Ovis aries: one gene and its partner. The protein of the gene in region 1 interacts with the protein of each later gene in a biochemical or structural test. Links are inferred from orthologs where the notes say so. Each region holds a gene or a part of one and is shown in the gene's direction. Other genes may lie near its edges.

Region 1 (10,546 bases):
CCCCTCAGCCTCATTATGGGAAGGACAGTGGGTGATACTGCCTTTCCAGGGGTATGTGGGGATATGAGGGAGATGATGGAAACCTCAGAGAGCCTGAGACCCAAAGTGATTTTCTTCTGGCTGGGGCTTGGACCCCTCCCCACTTAGATCCCCTCCTCTGCCCTCTCTTACCTGGGGCAACCACCAAGTGCCTTGCCCCTCAGGGCTGCTGGTTGGGAGCTGAGTGAGGATCCTGGGTCCCCAGCACCCGGAGTGTGCTGCCCCTTTAAAGGGATGGTCACCGCTGACACTGGCTATTGGAGGGTGGGCGCGGCAAGATTAGGTAACCAACCTGAAGGCGCAATTTGGAGTAAATTGCTCTGGGATCCCTGCCATGGGGTTTTTACGGGCCCTGCACAGCTCAGAAGTTCTCCCGCTGACTCACCCTCCGAACTGAGGAACACGGCCCTCTGCAGCCCCTAGCCACGGGCTGCCCACCCTCTAGGACTGGGGCACAAGGGGTTGGGGGCGGCGCTCAGAGGTAAATTCCTTTGTCCTGGCACACACTTGAGACCTAGGCCTCCCTAGAGGAAGGTGGACTGGGAGAGGCCAGGGAGGGACTTACTGTGGGTTATACTAGTTGGGAAGGCAGACACCCAGAAATTCAATTCCCAGTCCAGGGCACTGCTTCCTGCTTCTCTTTGGGAAATCCTGAGGCAGGGACCAGGTTTAAACAGGAAACTCAATTCAGTTTTAGTCCTACTCCACCTGAACTTTGAGAGGAAAAAAAGGCAGGCTTATTTCCTTGGTTTAGGGGGGCTGTGATTTCTCCAGGAGCTTCACCTTGAATTTGCTGTGTGACCCTCAGTCAGTCCATAGCCTCTCTGGACCTCTGTTTCTCCACTGGCCAGGGCTGGGTTCTGGCCTCTGCTTTCTGGGCCTGAGAGGGTACGGAGGCCTAAGGAGTGCTGCCCATTTTCCTCCTCCCCACTCCATGGAAGTGCCAGGCGACTCGGTGTTATTGTTTGGGTAACAGGAGCCATGGGGCGGCCAGGGCGCGGGTTGGGTGCAGGTTCTTACTGGAGAACAGGGCCTTGCTGTTCTCAGCCCAGGTGACACGTAAGTGATACGGCACCCTGACCTGCAGGTACAGGCTCCTGGCCGGGAGGGAGGCAGGCCGAGGGGCTGGGCAGGGCATTTGGCAGAGGCCTGGGATCTGCCCTCCCTGTGAAGCTGCCGAGAATGGGCTGCTCAGAGGCAGGGCCTTGTCTGGGGTGTGGCCCAGGTGGAGCCACCCCACTGGAAGTGTGGGTGAGGATCCTGCCGGGGCCTTCCCCTGGCCCTGCTGGGCTCAGTAACCGTGGCCGCAGGCCCAGCCTTGCTGTGCAGAGCTTTGCTCTGTGCTGTCCACCGCACTCCACCAGGGTGGCCTTATTAAAGTCAAATAATTCTGCAAACAGCTTCTCAGGGTAGGGAGTATTACCTCTGTCATCATATGGAACAACTGAACTCAGAGGGACCTGGCCTGCGAATTAATGTCAGAGTCAGAATTAGAATCCAGATCTCTCGCTGTCTTCTACCTAGTAGGGGGGAGACTTAAAGACAGGCAAGAGCTGGGATCAAGCCGGCCAGGTGGAAGGTACTCCAGGAGAGGCTCCGGATGTTGGCACACTCTCCTGTCCAGCCTTGGCTGAGGGCTAGTAGTTCCCGCCAGCCCTGGCACCTGGCCCCCAGCTTCCAGCAGCGGGCAGAGTTGCCAGTGCTGGGCTCTGAACCCAACTCCTGGGGCTGCTTCCTGCCTATGGGGCACGTGCTGTCTTTGTCCATCTGCTGCCCAGCTTCTCCAGACACTGCCCCGGACGCTTTTTTTCCCAAGACAGAGTGGCTTGGGTGGGAAGGAAGGATGCTTATTGGAACCCATCTCTGACCTCTGGGGAGGGGGCGCAATGGCCTGGGGGCCCTCGGTCGCTGTGCCCATGAGTATTGCTCTCTGAGGAAGCGGGAGGAGAGAGTCTCCACCCTCTTAGGGGCCAGAAGGCCTTTCCTGTAGACTCATAGACGAGGTCTTCCATTCAGTATTCTGCAAGGTCAGTATCATTGTCCTCATTCATTCATTCAGCAAGTGTTTATTGAGCACTTACCATGCGGCAAGTACTTCTCCAACCAGCAGGGTGCCACTGTGAACAAGACAGACCTGCCCGCCTAGTACAGGTGAGGAGACCGAGGCTCGAGAAGTAATGTGACAGACACATTCAGAGCGAGTGGCTGGCAGAGCCGGCAGCAGGGGCTCTGTCTCTGTGGCTGCAGACCTGTGCTCTTTCCACCCTCTGTACAATAGTCAGTCCGGAAGGGCAGATGCGCCCTGTCTTCCCAGGACCCTGGCTTTCAAGGGGAAGGTCACCTGTGGTCCTCTCTGCACTCCTAGTGCTCTCGCTAGGGCCGCCCATTTCCCCCTAGAGACCTTGTGCATCAGCTCTTACAGGCCTGGGCGTTCCATGAGGATGGCACCCAAGCCAGACCCCGGGACTGGAGGCAGCCAGACAGGCTCCCTGAGTCCTCCAAGATACTGCCCTGTAAGCGCCCACCTCTGGGTTCACCCACCACCTCCTCCTGTCTCTCACTGGGGATTCACGTGACTCTGGGTCATAGCCCCATGTCTGTCACCTGCTAACAGAGAGGCCACAGTTAAGTCACTCAGCTCTTCTGAGCCTCATCTGAAAAATGGGAGGAATAGAACCTACTCTGGCCTCCTTGCTTGCTTTGCTGGTTTGAGGTTTCATTTGACAGGCTATGTGCCAGACCCTGAGCTGGGTGCCAAGGAGACAATACCGGACAAGCCGTGGCTCCTCCCTGAGTTAATCTGAGGTTTGCTCGGTGCTGTGAGGCCCAGAGGAGGGAGGAAAGGACTTAAGGCTGTATGGACAGAGGAGAAGACATTTAACCAGGTCCTCAAAGAAGACCAGGAGTGTGCTGGAGTGACTGGGCAGGAAAGACTTTCTTGGTAGAAGGAGCCACCGTGCGAATGCTTGGGGACAAGCTGGCCTGTTCAGGGTCTCAGCTTGTTCAGTTTAGCTCCAAAATCGGGATAGTAATAATGGTGATTGTTTGTGGACCAGTTATATGCAAGCTGTACTTTTTTTTTTTTTTTTATATTTATTTAGCTGTCCCAGGTCTTAGTTGTAGCACTTGGGATCTTTAGTTGTGGCATGTGGGATCTGACCAGGGATCCAACCTGGGCCCCCCTGCTTTGGGAGTGTAGAGTCTTGGCCCACTGGACCACCAGGGACGTCCCTGGATGTATCTATTTTATAGACACTATTTTGCTTGCTTCTTAAAGCTACCCAGTGAGGTACATTACTTTTATCCCCATTTCACAGATGAGGAAACTGAAGCTTTGAGAAATGCAGTAACCTCAGGGTTATGCAGGTGATAGAAACCAGAATTTGAACCCACAAGGTCAGATTCCAGAACCCACATTAATCACCTGTGGGAGCTGGAGATGACGGCTTTGAATGCCATACCAAGGAGCTGGGACTTTATCCCACAGGCAGTGGGAAGCCGTGGAAGAGTTTGAGGCCTGGCACCTAGAAAGTTCTCAGTAAGGAGTAAGTGAGTGACCAGGGGAGTCACTCAAATGTAATGGTTGCAGTTGAGTTTTAGGAAGGGTGAGGGCTTAGAATGGGGGAGGCTGGTGTGTAGGCCCTTGTTACCATCCAGAGTTATGTCAAGAGTCTGCAATGCTGGGTGAAGTGGAACTCCGTCTACGAAGGCCTCACGCCTCCTCCTCCCCTCAGGCCTGGTTCCACCCAGTCCTGCTCCCCAAGCTCCTGAGAGAGAACACGTATGGTGGAGCCTCAGAACGCTGGCCCCTGGGGAGGATTAGGGGCATTAAGGGGGTTCAAGGGGCAGGATGTCCAGGGACTGGCGGGGAGGGAGTGCTGCTCCAGGAGCAGGGAGATTATATAATGGGGAAAGCACAGCTGTGCCTGCTGCTGCCAACAAGACTGCAGCTGCCCTGTGGACTTGGCCCCTGGTCCAAAGTCCTGGGTCTTCCTGGTCTCTCCACACTCTTGCTGCACATGAGGGCTGGAGACCGCTCCGTTTAGCTTCCCAAGGCCCGGATGGGGTAGGTTACTCACTTCATATCACACAGGAAAGGGGTGGTATACCCAGGGTGGACAGCACCCAGCGGAGGGTGAAGTCTGGGGTCTGGAGGACTGTGCAGGGGTGAGCTGCCATGCCTGCATCTCTGTTGCCCTGGCTGGGCGCTGGGCTCCTCTTCCTCAGTCTCTTGAGCACCTCCTGGTGTCAGAGACCGGATTTTGAATCCCCGCTGAGCAGCATTGTGGCTTAGGTGCCGTCACTAGGCTTCTCTGCGCCTCAGTTTCTTTCTCTGCCAAATGGGACCCGGGCCTACCTCCCAGGTCAGGAGGGTTTAATGGTGCCACAGATGTGAGGTACCAAAGCCAGTGCCGGCGTGCAGCAGGGGCGCGGAAGAGAGCAGCTGTTAGCACCAAAAGCCTCATCTCTGCCTCCCAGGACTTCCCGTTTATTAGGAGGGGCTCCCAGGTAAAGAACCTGCCTGCCAATGCAGGAGACCTAAGAGACATGAGTTCAGTCCCTGGGTGGGAAGATTCCTGGAGAAGGGAATGGCAACCCACTCCAATACTCTTGTCTGGAGTAGCCTGGCAGGCTACAGTTCATGGGGTTGCGAAGAGTTGGACACAGTTGAAGTGACTTAGCACGCACGGCCCACGAGTCCGTAGTCCCTGCATTGTGATAAGTGGTAAAATGAAGGTTCATAGGGAGTAGCAGTGATTCTGCAAGGATGGAGAGGGGTCCCAGAGCAGGCAGGGCCAGAGCATTTCTGGGCTGGACACTCTCCCAGACTTTATGTCCTTCAGCCCTTGCATCAACTCTAGGAGGTGGATGTAAATACCCATGTTACGGATTGGGAAACTGAGGCCTCTTGAGTTGGTTAGTTGGCACACACCCACAGTCCTTTCCTTCTCACTGGGAGGAGATGGCATTTGAGCCGGACCTTCAAAGATGAGATGTTTTCTAGGCAGAGAACATGGGAGGGGTGCCCAAAGCGGGCTACCTGAGTTGGGGCGATTGCAGAAGGCTTGAGGCCTGTCCCCTCCCAGAACTCCCGCCCCCACCTCCAGGGCCCCTCTAGCCACTGGGAGCATCCAAGGGCTGGGGCGCCCCATAGGGTCTGTCTTTGCTTTGTGCCACTCTGGTAAGTTCTGACAGTGTTCCCCACTCTCTCCTCTCTTTTCCAGAATGGACAAGCCTCAGGGGAGGAAGCTGGGCTTCAGCCATCCAAGGTAAGGGCCAGGCCCTAGCACCGGAGCTAGGGATCGTCAGGGGTGGAGTGACTGTTTGCCTGGAGTGGACAAGGAAGGAGGCACTGACCTTGTCCCGCCCAGGTGTGAGGCCCCCTGGCCCAGCTCAGCCTTCCTTCTCTGAAAGTGAAAGTCACTCAGTCATATCCCACTCTTTGCAACCCCGTGGACTATACAGTCCATGGGATTCTCCAGGCCAGAATACTAGAGTGGGTAGCCGTTCCCTTCTCCAAGGGATCTCCCCAACCCAGGGATTGAACTGCGTGTTGAAGGTGGATTCTTTACCATCTGAGCCACCAGGGAAGCCCAAGTCCTTCTCTGGGCCCACCTAATGCTCGAGGCAGCCCCGTATGTCAGGATTACTTGCTTCAGCCTTCCGGTTCCTCAGGGGAGTGGACTATGGCCCAGACAGGGTCAGAAGCCAGGCTAGAACTCAGGTTTACCCGTCCCCCAGACCAGGACGCTTCCTCTGCTTATTTACTCGTGGTGGCTTGGCTGACTGTATTAAGAGGGTGAAGGGGTGATGGGAGAGGCTTAAGTCCACTGGGCCTGACGAGGGCATGGCACCTGGTGCTGGAGGGAGCCTGGTGGCCTCCAGTCACACCAGGGCCCAGTGCCTGGCGTGGGGCACACAGGCCGTTTCTCAGGCCCCCTCCCAGGCCGGCTCCCTCAGCTCTACGCTCTCTGCTCCCCTTGGGTCTATCCCTTCAGCCCCCAGGGCCTGTTGCTGGTTTTGTGTGTTGACAGCACTATGAGGCTGGGGGACAGTCTGGCCTGGGCTTTCTCATCGCCGTGCTGGGAATGGCCTCACCCAGTTCTCAAGGCGTTGTGAGGTCGCAGAGCTGCTGGCTGGGGAGGGGCTGTGGAAGCCACCAGGCAGGACAGGGCCTGAGTTCTGGCGGTAGAGCCTACCTGAGTTCTGGTCCTGCCTCCACCATCGCCATTTGACCTGAAGCTTCTCCCTTCTGAGTCTGGTTTCCTCAGCAGTAAAATGGGAATAATGGTACCTGCCTCCTACCTCTCAGGAGTGACGTGAAGAACAGATAGAAGAGCAGCTGCCTGGCACACAGTAGCTTTAGTCCTGGCAGCCTGAGTGCCTGGCCGTGTTGCTCAGCTCCATTGCCTGTTAGTGGCCGCGCCCTTCTGGCCTGGGTCTGCTTAGGTACCAGACCATAAGCCTGACCTTTGAGATAGACTGAGGGCTGGTCCTGATGTTTGTCTTGACTCAGCCTCCTAAGATAAGGGAGCCGAGTTTCCTGGGGTAGGGCAGGCCAACAGAAGTAGGCTCCCACCCCTCCTCTTTTTGTTACTATGGCAACCTTGGGTCACCAAAGGCCAGGCCGAGTCATGTGGACTGAGCCCCTTGACTTGTCTCAGCCCCATGTCTCAGCCTCCTGTGGGAGAATCTCTTCCCACCAAGTAGCTGCTCCTGGTTGCCTAGTAATGAAGGGACTGTAGGTCTCCAGTGAAGGTCCAGATGTTCAGATCTTGGGGCTGTAGTTCTAGGGGTTGCAAAGGTGCCTGCAGCTTTGAGGGAACTGGTGGTGAGTACAGCTTCTCACCTCAGAGCTAGAGGGGCTGGTTAAGAGAAGACAAGCACTTACCCAGGTGGACAAACTACTCTTGATCCCAAGTCTGTGATTCCTTCCTGCTTCTGGAGCAGATCCTGGGGTGGGAAGGGAGATGAAGCTGGACGTGGATGGGGCAGGGAGAGCCTTGAATGCTACGTTAAGGGAGAGAAAGTGCCATACCAGGAGCTTTGCATTTGGTTCTCATAACATCCCCAGAGGTAGAAACTGTTACTCTCCCCATTTTACAGATGAGAAAGTTGAGGCCCTAGGTCAGATCGCTAATGGGCAATGAAGTCAGGTCTTGCTTGACCACAGAACCCACATTCCTCCCAGCCCAGGAGACACACTGAGTGCTGAAGAGGAGGAGCACTGCGTCCCCGTGAGCACAGTTTCCGTCATTACTCGGCACCTGCTCGTTCACCTTCTCTGTTGCTGCAGAATCTTGTAGCATCCCCAGTGCCCACTTTTGGGCTCAACACACCAGGGGGCGCTCAGCCTGTGGTCAGAACCTCATCGCTTTGTGCAGTGGAAGGAGCTGGTTTATCTTTTGCATCATCACATGTTCATGGCACTGGGAATCCCAAAATGAAGTCAACACCCCACCCTCAGGGAGTTCTCAGCATTGGGGAAGGGTGGTGACAAGAAAGCTGTGTGGTGGGTGCAGTGATGGGGAGGAACAGGCTGTGGGCACATAGAACCTCCATTCAGTGCCAGGCCTGACAGTGGGCAGTGAAATATACCACCTTCCTACCTGCCTCTCTGGGGCATGATGAGATGAGCACGTCTCAGGGAACCCAGTAGCATCCACTCTCAAGGTTGAGGGTGGACCAGATGGACGGGCACTGCTGTGTGTGGCAGAAGAGGAAACGTGGGCTGTAGGGCACCAGGTCACCTTCCCCGCAGAGCTGGTGTTTGCCTGGGCCTCGAAAGCCGGGATTTGGGCAGCTGGAGAGAGAAGTGGGCCTTCCAGGGGGAGGAGAGGCCTGACTTGGAGGAGAGGCAGGCTCTCTGAGTTCAAAATTCTGCTCCTCTTTCTTATTTGCCAGCTGACCTTGGGCGAGTTGTTTTACCCCTCGGAGGCTCAGATGCCTCTTCTGTAAAAGGAGAATAGAGTCCACCCGTCAGGGCCACCCAGAAGGAGGGAACGTGATGTGCATAAATTGGAGCATCCAGCAGTGTTTGAGACATCATATTGGTGTTTAATGCTTGTTTATTTGATCCGTTTCAGGCAGAAGAAAGGATTGGGGTTTTAGCAGCTGTAGAGAGGACTGCAGTCTAGGATGAGAGCTCCCCGTGTGCACCTGGTCCTTCAGGCATGCTGGGGCTCCATTCACCCTCCCTCCCTTCCTGGAGGTGGACTGGGCACCCCAGGCCCCCTCCCTGGCTATCTCCGGAGCTGGACCCCTTGGAAGCGCCTGCAGGTCTATTTTGAGAGCTGAGCGTCTCTCCCCCTCCCCTCCTCTCTTCCTGTTTATGAAACCCTGATCCCTCCCGGATCCCTCATGCTCCCCTGGCTGGAGCTCAGGCAGGATGTGATTGTGGACTTCGGGGAGCCTTGGGAGTCTCAGGTGTTGGGGGGGAATTTCCCTGGGACTGGCCGGGGAAGGCTCCCTCACCCTCCACCCTCTCAACACCTGAGACCCATGGACTCTGTCCCTTCAGCCTGCCCAGAGGAGCCCCTGCCGCAGTAAGAAAGCCCTTGCTGTTCAGGGAGTTCTGTTTACCACATCCCTTTATCTTTGTGGCCCATTTTTGCTTCTCAAAACAACCTTTTGAGGGTGCGAACATTTTACAGAAGAAACTGAGGCTTAGATAGGGAGTGAGGGTTGCACGGGAGCAAATGAGTAGACGGTTCTTAACTTCCCACCCTGCCCTCCTGGCCTCTTTTCCGTGCTGGTCTTTCTCTATATGGAGTGTCTTTTTTCCTCCTCTCTGCTTGGCCAGCTCCTGTTCATCTTCAGGGTCCAGCTAGACTGTCGCATCTTCCCAGATCTTACCCCAGGCAGGTAGTGAGAACCTGTGGGCACCTCCAGCTCTTTGCCTGCGCTGTTGCACACCATGCTTCCGTGTCGTTATTGTGTGTTTCGGGGAGCTGCCTGAGGACAAGGCTGAAGACTTCCTTAACACGTGCGCCTCCTAGTGTCTGGCTACTGGTCTGGGGACACAGCCGGGGGCCCATAGCTGTGAGTAATGTCCAGAGAGGATGCAGGCTGGCAGCCTCGCAAGGAGGGTGATGATGAAATGCTTCGGCCTGTAGGCTTCGATTTTGTCCCGAGCTGTCCGCCTTTCTGGCCATGTGGCCTTGGGCAAGTCACTTTCTGTCTGAGTCTGGTTTCCTCCTCTCTGGAATGGGATGACAGCACTTCCCTTGGAGTAGGACACCCGAGCCTGGCAGAATGCACACCAATAAAAGCTGAAGGAAAGAATGGCTTCCTGCAATAAATACTCAGTTAAGAGGCACAATTCTCATTGTCACTGCATACCAGTCCTGGCCTCGGGCCCAAGGCCAGCTCGCCTATCAAGGAGGCCTGGGAACTGTGGACCCACTGCCGAGAGGCATGCCGGGAGAGGTGTCTGGGGATGTTTGCCCCATGAGAGGGGGCACCCCTGGGAGGCCCTGCAGATGCTGCCAGCTGGGGGCGGGGCTGTTGATGTCCGTTAGGGCCAGAGATCAGCAGGTGGGCTTGGGCTGCAGCTGCTGGAGGGAGGCCTGGGATGGGGACCCTACAGGCCAGGGATCAGGCAGGGAGTGTGGTAGCGGGGGCGGCGGGGAGCGGGGGGCGCGCTCTGGGCTTCTCTCCAGCTGCCTTGTGGGAGGAAGTAAATAAGAGGAAGTATCTATGGGGGGAATGGGGCCACGACCAGGGGGTGGGATCTGGTGCTGTCCTCCCCGCTGCTGCCACCGGCAGCTCCCAGGCCCTGCACACACCCCTCCAGTGCAGGCAGTTTGGAGACAGCTTCCTTCCTATTGCCCCTTCTTGTGCCCTGCCAGCCATGGGGAGCCTTCCTTTGCTTCTGAAGGATACAGGGGTAGTGAGGAGTCGGGGCAGGGGGCGTAGCTGGTACTGGACCCAGAGAGCTTTGGGGCTCTCAGGGCAACCCCAGACCCCAGGCCCTCCAGAAGAAGCTGGAGTACAGTGAGAGGCCTCAGTCTAAGGAAGCATCTTGCACAACAGCCAGCAGGCCTCCTCAGACTGTTGTCAGGGGCTCTGTGGGGACTGGAAGGGGAAGTTCTGTGTACGTGGGGGTGTGTTTCCACAGAAGGGATGTCTGTGGAAATGGTTTCCGATCAGCGGACTGCGTGCATCTGTGTGTGTCAGTTCCTGTGAGGGCACTGGGTGAGTGATGTGGTGAGGACATGTGGCAAAGGGCCGGGCCCGGCCTCCCCCTGCCTCATGGCTACCTGTGAGGTCCATGCCTTCTGCACTGTTCCCCCTCTCCCACCGCCCCCACCTCAGGGCCCTGGGCTGACCGGCTTCTTCAGGGCAGCGCTGAGTGCAGTCGCGCCTGCTCTGTGGGCTGCCATTTTGGGTGGGCCCAGTGACGGGAAGGTCACCACAGTGGGAGGAACGCCCATGCTCTGGGCCGGACTGTCAGAGATGGTGGCCCTGCAGCCTTTTGCCCCCCATTCTCTCCTGGAGGTGTTTG
Region 2 (10,339 bases), on another chromosome or scaffold:
ATTCTGTATGTAATAGCTTGCATCTGCTAAGCCCAAGCCCCCAATCCAGCCCTACCCCTACCCCCACCTCCCTGCTGGCAGCCAGTCTGTCCTCTATGTCTGGGAGTCTGTTCCTGTTTCTTAGGTGGGTTCATTTGTATCAGATTTTAGGTTCATATTTGGATACGCCTAGATCACGCGTGAGCGATGCCGTATGATATTTGCCTTTCTCTTTCCGACTTACTTCGCTCGGTATGACAATCTGTATGTCCATCCGTGTTGGTGCATATGGCATTATTTCATCATTTTTTATGGCTGAGTAGTACCGCACCTACTTTATGTACTCACCTGTCAGTGCATTCATGTTCACTGAATCTGTATCTCTCGGGTAAGTATATACCTGAGAGTGGGACCGGTGTCATTCGAAAAGTGTTTCGGATGTTCAGCCTTTCATGAAACTGTCAGACAGTATTCCGTAATGGTTGTACCATTTTACATTCCCATCAGTGGTGTCAGGGAATCCATTCTTTTACCACGTAGAGAAACACCAGGTTGTTAATCAAGAGGACGAAAGAGCAGCCCAAGTAAATCAGCCATGTGACCACCTTGGTTTATGTCCAGTTACCACGCAGTACAACAGTTTTGCAGCCTAACGCATTCAGAGCTGCGCTTGAAGATGAGTTCAGTTACAGCCTCAGTCACCCTTCCACCAGGCTGGGGACACTCTTGTTCACTCATGGGTTGTTTTTTTCCCAATGATATACTGTTATCATCGTAGCAGAGTTTATAATGTACGCGAGACTAGAGCACACACACTAGAGCACACCCATCTCACACATACACACCCAGTCACACACGCAGTAACTTGGAGCACCTTTGGTTAAAGCAAGCTCTGGAGAGCATCCAGCTCAATCACGGCGACCTGTTAAGGACATCTTCTAATCTATCTGATCCCCATCCCCCACATCCTGAGAAAACGATTTAAAAATCAACTTTTAATTCTAGAACAGTTTTAGGTTTGCAGAAAAGTTGGGATACAGTATGGAGTTCCCTCTTACCCTGCACCCAACGTCCCCTATTGCTGTCATCTTACATTACTGTGGTCCATCTGTCACCACTGAAGAACTAATGTTGATCCATTATTATTAGCTAATTCAGATTTCCTTACTTTTCACCGAAAGTGCCTTCTCCATCCCAAGATCCCACACTGCATCTAGTCACCACGTCTCCAATCTGTGACAGCTTCTCAGACTTTCCTTGTTTTTGATGACCTTGACCATTTTGAAGAGTCAGGTATTTTCAGAACGTCCTTCAATCTAGGTTTGCCTGAAGTTTCTCTCATAGGCAGACTGGTTACAGGTTTTGCAGAGGAAGACCACACAGGCAAAGTGCCATTCTTGTCAATCATATAAAGGGTCCTTGCTATCAACCTGATCTTCCCCTGATGGTGATCACCTTGACCACCTGACTGAGGTCATGTCCATCACTCTTCTCCACCGTAAAGTACTGTCTCCTCTTTGGAAAGAAGTCGCCAAGTATAGACCACACTTAAGGGTGGGAGTTCTCCTTTAAGGAGAAGTAGCTTGTCCAGGTGATTGTCTCTTTTCCCCACTTATTTAACCAGTTATTTATATTAGTGTAAACTTGTTGATATTTATTTTATACTTTATGTTACAACCCAAGTCTATATGATTTACATTCTTGCTCAGATTGTTCCAATTTCGGCTATGGGAAGCCCTTTCCTTTGGCTTCTGTGTCCCTTTGACAAACCCCATGGTGCGTGTGTGTGTGTGTGTGTGTCCACACGTGCTTACTCTCTGGCACTAGAAGATGGTCCAGGCTCACCTCCTGTATTTCCCGCCCCAGCCCTGGAATCAGCCATTTCTCCAAGGAGCCTGGGCTCCTTGTTCTGGGCAGGGATCTTAGAAATCAAGCTTTCACACTGGATGTGCTCATTGCTGGGGGGAACATCCTTGCTTCCAAGCCCTCTCAGCTGACAGAGCCGGCAAACTTAGGTGCAGATACTAACCTCTGTGGGCTCCCCAGGTGGCTCAGTGGTAAAGAATCCATCGGCCATGGAGGAGACCCAGGTTTGATCCCTAGGTCGGAAGAGTCCCTGGAGGAGGAAATGGTAGCCCACTCCAGTATTCTTGCCTGGAGAATCCCGTGGACAGAGGAGCCTGGCGGGCTGCTGTCCATGGGGTCACAAAGAGTCAGATCCAACCGAGCACTGCCACTGCCACTAAGCTGTGTCCATGCGCATATCTGTAAACGTTTCTGTCTGTTGTAGGCTCCTCTGCAACCTCCCACTACAACGCAGAGGAATCCGGCTCCCGTGGTCTGCGGACATAATCGCTCAACGCCCATGTGCATGTATGGCATGATTTCAGAACTGTTAACCTGCACCCTTGCAGGGGCCACCCTTACCGTCTAGAGCACAGTGTTATGCGTGGTTCCTTTTGCCTTTCGTCTCACAGACCCCGGTCCTTTCCATAATTACTTAGGTCAGCATCTTTTCTCTCATCCCAAGCTCTTTTTCTGGCCTGGGTCTCCCCTTCTCCCACCACTAAGCCTGGCCTGTGGGGCTCAGGCAGTGGTGTCCTCTGTGGGGATCAGATCATGCCTCAGTGAGTCTCAGTGGTCCCCTCTGCCATCACTGGACTGAGTGAACCCCCATAGAACCCCCAAAACAGCCCAACTGAATCCTCCTGACGCACCTGCCGAGCTCTGCAGCCTCAGGGGTGGACCCAGCCCCAGGCCCAGCTCTGGTCAGTCTTGGCTCCTGCCTGAGCCTCCCTGTGCATCCCCCCAGGACCGTGCAGCAGGAGCCAGCCACTCTGGGTGCTGGCCAAGCTGTCCAGCCATGCTGCTGGTCCTCCTGGTAACGGGGGCCTTCTCAGATTACTCGGAGGATCACTTTGCCTTAGAAACTCCAGCTGTCACCTCTGATGCATTAGTAACCAGTGCCAAGGCCCTGAGCAGCAGAGGACTGGCAATAAGCAAGCGTCCCCAGGTGTCCCGCCAGCACCGTGCTCTGTCCCCACAGCCATTGCCACCACCAGGGAGGAAGGTGAGCAAACCCGGAGGGAGGCGCGGTACCCAAGATTCTGGGACGGGTAGCCTGGGATGCCTCCCCTGGTGAGCCCTGTTGGGAGCCTGGATTCCTGTTTCCAGGTGAAGGGGAAAGAGGGGAGCTCTACATGGATGGGAGAGGGCTTAGGTCAACCTGCAGGGCTGAGGACGCACTGGAGGGCTGGAGGCATCTCAAAAGCGCCGAGGGGTTTGAGTGCCGGCAGCCTCTTCAGCTCTGTGGCTCCCCAGGTTGGGTGTAGACAGGTTGGGAGCAAGCTGCTCTGGCCTCTGAGCAGCAGCCCTGCTGCAGGTCACCGGTCAGAGCCAGTATGCACGTGGAAGGGGGGCAGGGGCCTGGCCCCATCAGTCTCCAGCCAGCACGCCTTTGCCTGTGAACGAGCTGACTGCTTGACTCACGGGGCAAGAACTGATCTCAGGCCCCTCCAAGACCCAGGGATGCCCCGACCCCACCTGGGCCCAGTGGACCCAGGAGTCCCTCACTGCCCCCATGTGACAAGGTAAGTGTCCCTGAGGCTCCGTGGCAGCACCACTGCCTGGCAGAGGAGGACCAGGGCCCCCGCGTGGGCTCGGCAGTGAGCCTGCCAGCCTCGGGGTGTGGCAGCCCCACCTGACCCAGTGTGAGGAGTTCTCACACCAAGCCCTCTGGTGGCAGGTGACAGGTCCCACTGGATGTCACTCAAGGCCTTTCCTCCCCAGTCCATGATACTCTTGGGGCCTCCTCCCTGCCCCCAACTCCAAGTGTCTTGGGAGAGGCCAGCTCCTGGGAGATGGAGCCAACAGGAACACAAAACCCGTAGGGTGGGTGGGAGGGCTGTCTAAACATCTTCAGAAGGCTGAGGGGGGGACCAAAACCAGGGCCTTCAAAATCCAGCCCCGAGAGGTTCTTCTAAGCCAGAGGTTAGAATTCCTTAGAACTACGGACTCTTCCCCCAGAAAACTAAGGCTTTACATCATATCTTACCTACAGTTTCAGCGGTCATCCATGGATGCCTGTAAGGAATCTCTGCTCTCATCAGACATATGGAAAAATACACAGATAGACTGTTCCATCCAGGCAGTCACCCTTGCCACCCCTGATGTGTTTGTGTCTCCAGCCCATGCCATCATCTGCTTTCAGAGAATAGAGCCACCTCCCCTCCCCTGAGCCTGTCCTAGAGCCAGGAGCCCAAAGGACGATCCCCTCCCCCACCCCAAAGCAGCCATATCATGGCTCCTCAAGAAGATCAATTCAAAAGGCAAATAACCCCCAAAGTCAGCAGGAGTTTGTGAACTCCTAACTACTGAGGGGAAGTCCTTTTGTCACATTGAAACTGGTGACTTTCAGGCACAGCCGGGTCCAGGAGGTCAGGCGATATCCTAAGAACTGATGGTCCACACAGAGGCCGAGGAAGAACAGTGGCTCAGACTGGCACATGCGTTGAGTCTGAGCGGCATGCAGCCCTGTGGGCAAGGCCGCAAGGAATCCCCTGTGACCTCTCTCTCCTCCAGCTGCACGGCCACCACTGCCATGCCGGCCACCAACCAGGGATGGCCAGAGGACTTCGGCTTCCGGCTGGGGGGCTCGGGTCCCTGCTTCGTCCTGGATGTGGTGGAAGGGAGCAGCGCACACGCCGGGGGTCTGCGGCCCGGGGATCAGATCCTGGAGGTGGAGGGGCTGGCTGTGGGCGGCCTGAGCCGCGAGCGCCTAGTGCGCCTGGCCCGGCGCTGCCCGCGCGTGCCGCCCAGCCTGGGCGTGCTCCCCGGCCCCATTGGCTGCCCCGGCGCGGGTTCCGGCTTCGAGCCGCTGACCACAGCCTTACGGATCCCGCGCTCAAGCCGCGGCCTCTATCTGGGCCGCGAGTTGCTACGCCTGGCCGGCCGCAAGCGCCCCGACGCCGTGCACCGAGAGCGTAGGCGCAAAGCCCAGGAGTTCAGCCGCAAGGTAGGGCGCGCAGGGCGCGGCAGGGCCCTAAGGGACAGGCGGTCTGGGGTGGGGCTCTAGGGACGCTGTTCTGGGGGACTGGGCCCCGTGGGCCCGGAGCGTCAGGAGCCAGGCAGGCCTTCCTCAGGCCAGGAGTGGGAGCCTGGAGCTAAGGAAACATCTAACGAAAGATTTATCAGAAATATAGTGATGCTCAAGCTTCCAGTCCTGTCCTAAATTTTCGTGATTTTTGTTTGCTTGATTTGTGGGAGTTGCTTTTCTTTTTCTTTTTTTAATTAAGGTAATACAGATATACAGTAAAGCACATTCATTAAGCGTACAGTTTAATGAACTTTACATAGGGCATACACCCTTGTAACCACCAGCCTGATCAAAATGTAGATGAATAGAATACAGACAATAATATTAGTAGAATGCAGAACATAGAATGATTCCTTCAACCCAGAAGATTCTCTCCATCTCAATATGAAGCTCCAAGATTCCCTGTAGAAGAAGAGAGCCTAGAAGATTGTCCATCAACTCTTAAGGACTCCGAGGGTGAGCGGGGCGGGGTGGGGGCGGGACAGGAAGCGAATCCCTGCATTTTCAGTGGATATTCATTGGCCAGAACTAATCACACCACTGATCCCAAAGGATGCTGGGAAATGTAGTCCTCTGTGTGTCCAGGAAGACGGGAAGACCTAGAAATGGTTTAGTCACTAAGTCGTGTCCGACTCTTGCGACCCCATGGATCCGCCAGGCTCTCTGTCCATGGGGGTTTTTCAGGCAAGAATACTGGAGTGGATTGCCATTTCCTTCTCCAGGGGATCGTCCGTCCCAACCGAGGAATCGAACCCAGGTCTCCTGCATTGCAGGCAGAGTCTTTACCGGCTGAGCTATGAGGGAAGCCTCTAGAAACATTGGTGAGCCCTAGTGCTTTAATCAGAGAAGGCAATGGCAACCCACTCTAGTACTCTTGCCTGGAAAATCCCATGAACGGAGGAGCCTGGTGGGCTCCAGTCCATGGGGTCAAGAAGTGTTGGACACGACTGAGCGACTTCCCTTTCACTTTTCACTTTCATGCACTGGAGAGGGAAATGGCAACCCACTCCAGTGTTCTTGCCTGGAGAATCCCGGGGACGGGGAGCCTGGTGGGCTGCCGTCTCTAAGGTCGCACACAGTCAGACATGACCGAAGCAACTTAGTAGCAGCAGCAGCAGTGCCTTAATCTGTTCCAGCTGCCGTAACCGAACTACCACAGACTGGGTGGTTTATAAGCAACAGGATTTCCCTCTCACAGCTCTGGAGGCGTGAGATTTGAGAACAGGGCTCCAGCATGCTTGAGTGTGGGCCTGCTTTGGATTGCAAACTTCTGGTTTTGTCCTCCCGTGATGAAAAGGGCAAGGGATCTGTATGGGGCTCTTTTATTTTTTTATTTTTTTCAAAAAAAGGTTTTTTATGTGGACCTTTTTTTTTTTTTTTTTGTCTTTATTGAATTTACAGCATCGTTTCTGTTTTATGTTTTGGTTTCCTTTGGCCAAGAGGCATGTGGGATGCCTTACCTCCCCAACTAGCAATCAAGTCTGCACCCCCTGTGCTGGGAGATGAGGTCTTAACCACCAGACTGCCAGCAAATCCCTGAGGCTCTTTTATAAGGGCACTAATTCCATTCATGAGACCGCCACCCTCATGACCTAGTCACCTCCCAATGGCCCAGCCTCCTAATACCATCATCGCCCGGGGCATTCGATTTTCAGCACACAAATTTTGGAGGGGGGGGACACAAACATTCAGACCACAGCAGCTGGTGAAGTCTGCTTCATTTCACCTGGTAAAGTCATCCCAGATGACTCAGTGTAGACCCAGAAGTCCGCCCCAGACGCCATCCAATCCCTGGAAAGTCAGAGGGGAGGTGGTCAGAGCTCCCAGGTGAGCAGAGCGGACTCGGTGGGGAAACAAAGTCAGGCTGCGGCCTAGGGAGGAGTCTGACCAGCTGCCCAGGCCAGCTTCTGCGCATTCTCTGACAAGGGGAACAGGGAGTGGTGGATTCTGGTTAGAGCTCGCCAAGCAGCTCCATAAATCCCCAGAAAAGACCACCTCCAGAAGATCAAGGGCAGCTGTGGAGCCCCCCACCAGCTTCCGACAATCAGCTCTCGGGTTCTCGCCAGCACTCTCCCTGCCCCAGTTTCTCCTCCTTGCAGAGCCTGATACTTAATAGAAAATCCATTAGTGTCCCGTGATGGTGCCTCATGCTTCGATGTAGGTTGAGAGCGTCTGGGTAATAGCTGACACCAAAACCGCACTGTGGTGGGGCCCCAGGAGGGAGGAGCTATTTTTTCCTCTTTCTTACATAAAACATCTTTCCAGAGAGCCATGTTCTCCTTTGAAACGAGGCTGCCGCTGGCTTTGGCTTCAAAGCCACTGACCTTCCTGGGCCTGGTGGGTTCTGGAGGAGGGGGTGACTGGTACTGCAGCCTACTCCGCGCACCTTGAGAACGGCTGGCCGCCTACAGCTCTTTGGTTGAGCTCTGTAAACGCTCCCTGAATGCACCAGGCCCTGTGCTCGGCCCGGACAGGAGTAAGATGTCAGGTCTGCATCTTGGGCCATCTCGTCTGGTGAAGGAGATCTGGGGTGCAGTTGCTAGGACTCAGCCGTGCACAGAACGTGGCCTTGGCCTGGGTGCCCTCGAAGCCGCCTGCTAATACCTGCTCACACTCTGTGATGTCACCCTCTCCGGGAAGCCTTTCCTCATCCACTGTGCTGCCGTTTAGGAAGCAGTTGTATATACAATTCTGAAGTTCAGGGGCAAACCATGGGCTGGAGGGCCGTCTGGGATCCCCTGGCCAGAGCAGCGGCGTCAGGGAGCGCTTGTGGCAAAGGGTGAGGGGGATTGCAGCGGGTCAGCACAGTTGTATGAAAATAGCCAGGGTCAACGGCTCTGGACAGAAAGAAGAGGCTGATAGGGTTGTGGAGTCAAGGGAGGAGTTTACTGATTTATTTATAGGCGGGGAGAGAAGCGAACAATTTGTATGAGCCAAAGGGAAGGAGGCAGTAGCGTCACTGAAATCCATGCGTTTTGCAGTTGTTGCTCACGGCGCTCTGACCAGCAAGGAGTGGGGACACAGCTGTGCACAGGACCAAGAGGGGAGCCTGCCATCACGCATTGTGGGAAACAAACGAAGCACGTGGACAAAGCGATGCTGTTGCTGTTCAGCCGCTCAGTCGTGTTCAGCTCTTTGTGACCCCATGGACTGCAGCACGCCAGGCTTCCCTGTCCTTCACTATCTCCCAGAGTGTGCTCAAACTCACATCCATTGAGTCTATGGACAATTCAATAAACTAGCTATTTCAGATGATGATCACTGAAGGGAAGAAATCAACAGGGAGGTGAGAGAGTCTTGGGGGCCACTTGATCAGAGTGGTCAGGAAAGGCTCCCTGAGGAGGGAACTTTCAAACTGAGAGCTGAGTGACAAGTAGGTGGCAGGAAGAGAGAGTGGGGACTCTGGTGACTCGGCGGCCTTGTGAGTTGGCCTTGCCCAGGAAGGGGGCAGGTTCTTCATCGTCTGAGAGTCGGGGGTGGAGGGGAAAGATGCGGGGCTTGTTGATACGTTTGGAGGTGAGTGGAAGGGGTAATGAATGGCCCCGGCTCTGGCTGAAGTTGGGACCCACATGGGCCTGAGAGAGACGCATGGCCGTCTCCTGGGCTCACCCAGCCGCCCAGCCTCCCACCTCTGCTTCAGGGTCGGCTCAGGATGTCAGCACCCAGAGGCACCCCCAGACCCTCGACTAACAAGGCAGGGAATCTGCTGGAGTATGGACAGACAGTGGTTAACTGCTCCATTAAAAAAGTAACAGTGCCAGACAGAAAAGCGCCCATGGTATAAGATTCCAGTCATGAGACATATTCAGTACAAGCAAATCCAGAGACGCTGAAAAATAGATCAGTGGTTTCCCCGGGGCTGGGGAAGGGGGGATGAGGAGTGACTGCTGAATGGGGGCAGGGTTTCTGTTTGGGAGGATGAGAAAGTCCTGGAACTGGAGAGTGGTGATGGTTATCCCGCATGGTGAGTGTACTTAATACCACTGACCTGTACGTATTAAAATGGCTGCAGTGGTAAATTTTATCTTCAGTTCAGTTCAGTCGCTCAGTCGTGTCCGACTCTTTGCGACCCCGTGGACTGCAGCATGCCAGGCTTCCCTGTCCATCACCAACTCCCGGAGTTTACTCAAACTCATGTCTATCGAGTCAGTGATGTCATCCAACCATCTCATCCTCTGTCATCCCCTTCTCCTGCCTTCAATCTTTCCCAGCATCAGGGTCTTTTCCAATGAGTCAGTTCTTCGCATCAGGTGGCCAAAATATTGGAACTTCAGCTTCAACATCAGTCCTTCCAATGAATATTCAGGACTGATTTCCTTTAGGATGGACTGGTTGGATCTCCTTGCAGTCCAAGGGACTCTCAAGAGTCTTCTCCAACACCACAGTTCAAAAGCATCAATTCTTGGGTGCTCAGCTTTCTTTATGGTCCAACTCTCACATCCATACATGACCACTGGAAAAACCATAGCCTTGACTAGACGGACTTTTGCTGGCACATAAATTTTATGTCATGTGCATTTTTACAACAGTTAAAAAATAAAGAGGGAAAGGGAACAACGATAACATGCATTCCTTTTCCTGATTGTATAAGTCATATAAGCTCACTGCCTAAAAAATAAAATGGAAACCTAGGGACTTCCCTGGTGGTCCAGTGGTTAAGACTCCAAGCTTCCATGCAGGGGGCGGAGGTTCGATCACTGGTCAGGGAACTAAGATCTCATATGCCAAATGGCCAAATTTAAAAAAAAAAAGGAAAGCATTGGCGTAAAAATAATCAAAATCACTATAAACTTCAGTGCATATTCCCTATGCAGATGTGTGTATAATTATCTCTGATAAAAATGTAACACTGTGTGTTCTATTTGAAACCTTGCCTGTCTCTCACAAACACTTTCCATTATGTTATAACAGCTTTATCAAGATATATTCACATACCATACAATTTATTCATTTAAAGTGTGTTCAGTGGTTCTTAGTATATTCACAGAGCTGTGCAACCATTACCACGATTTTAGAACATTTTCATCATTCCTAGAAGGGCTTCCCAGGTGGTGCTAGTGGTAAAGAATCCACCTGCCAATGAAGGAGACACAGATGAGGGTTTGATCCCTACGTTGGAAAGATCCCTTGGGGTAGGAAATGGCACCCACTCCAATATTCTTGTCTGGAAAATTCCACAGGCAGAAGAGCCTGGCAGATTACAGTCCATGGGGCTGCAAAGAGTTGGACACAACTGAGCATAATCATAACTACCCAGAAAGAAGG

Evidence for each region.
Region 2: the proteins of RPS6KA1 (region 1) and GRID2IP interact in a test that uses a peptide from one of them, tested with the Homo sapiens proteins (2 studies listed by BioGRID and IntAct, with this or other methods). The link is inferred for Ovis aries from reciprocal best matches to the Homo sapiens genes RPS6KA1 and GRID2IP.

The regions. Positions count from the first base shown.
Region 1 is NC_056055.1:240,326,505-240,337,050, reverse strand, and holds the start of RPS6KA1 (ribosomal protein S6 kinase alpha-1), read left to right. Parts: upstream 1-3,874; 5' UTR 3,875-3,889; coding exon 3,890-4,105; intron 4,106-5,264; coding exon 5,265-5,309; intron 5,310-10,546. UniProt on the Homo sapiens protein: Serine/threonine-protein kinase that acts downstream of ERK (MAPK1/ERK2 and MAPK3/ERK1) signaling and mediates mitogenic and stress-induced activation of the transcription factors CREB1, ETV1/ER81 and NR4A1/NUR77, regulates translation through RPS6 and EIF4B phosphorylation, and mediates cellular proliferation, survival, and differentiation by modulating mTOR signaling and repressing pro-apoptotic function of BAD and DAPK1.
Region 2 is NC_056077.1:38,809,449-38,819,787, reverse strand, and holds the start of GRID2IP (delphilin), read left to right. Parts: upstream 1-4,573; 5' UTR 4,574-4,579; coding exon 4,580-4,993; intron 4,994-10,339.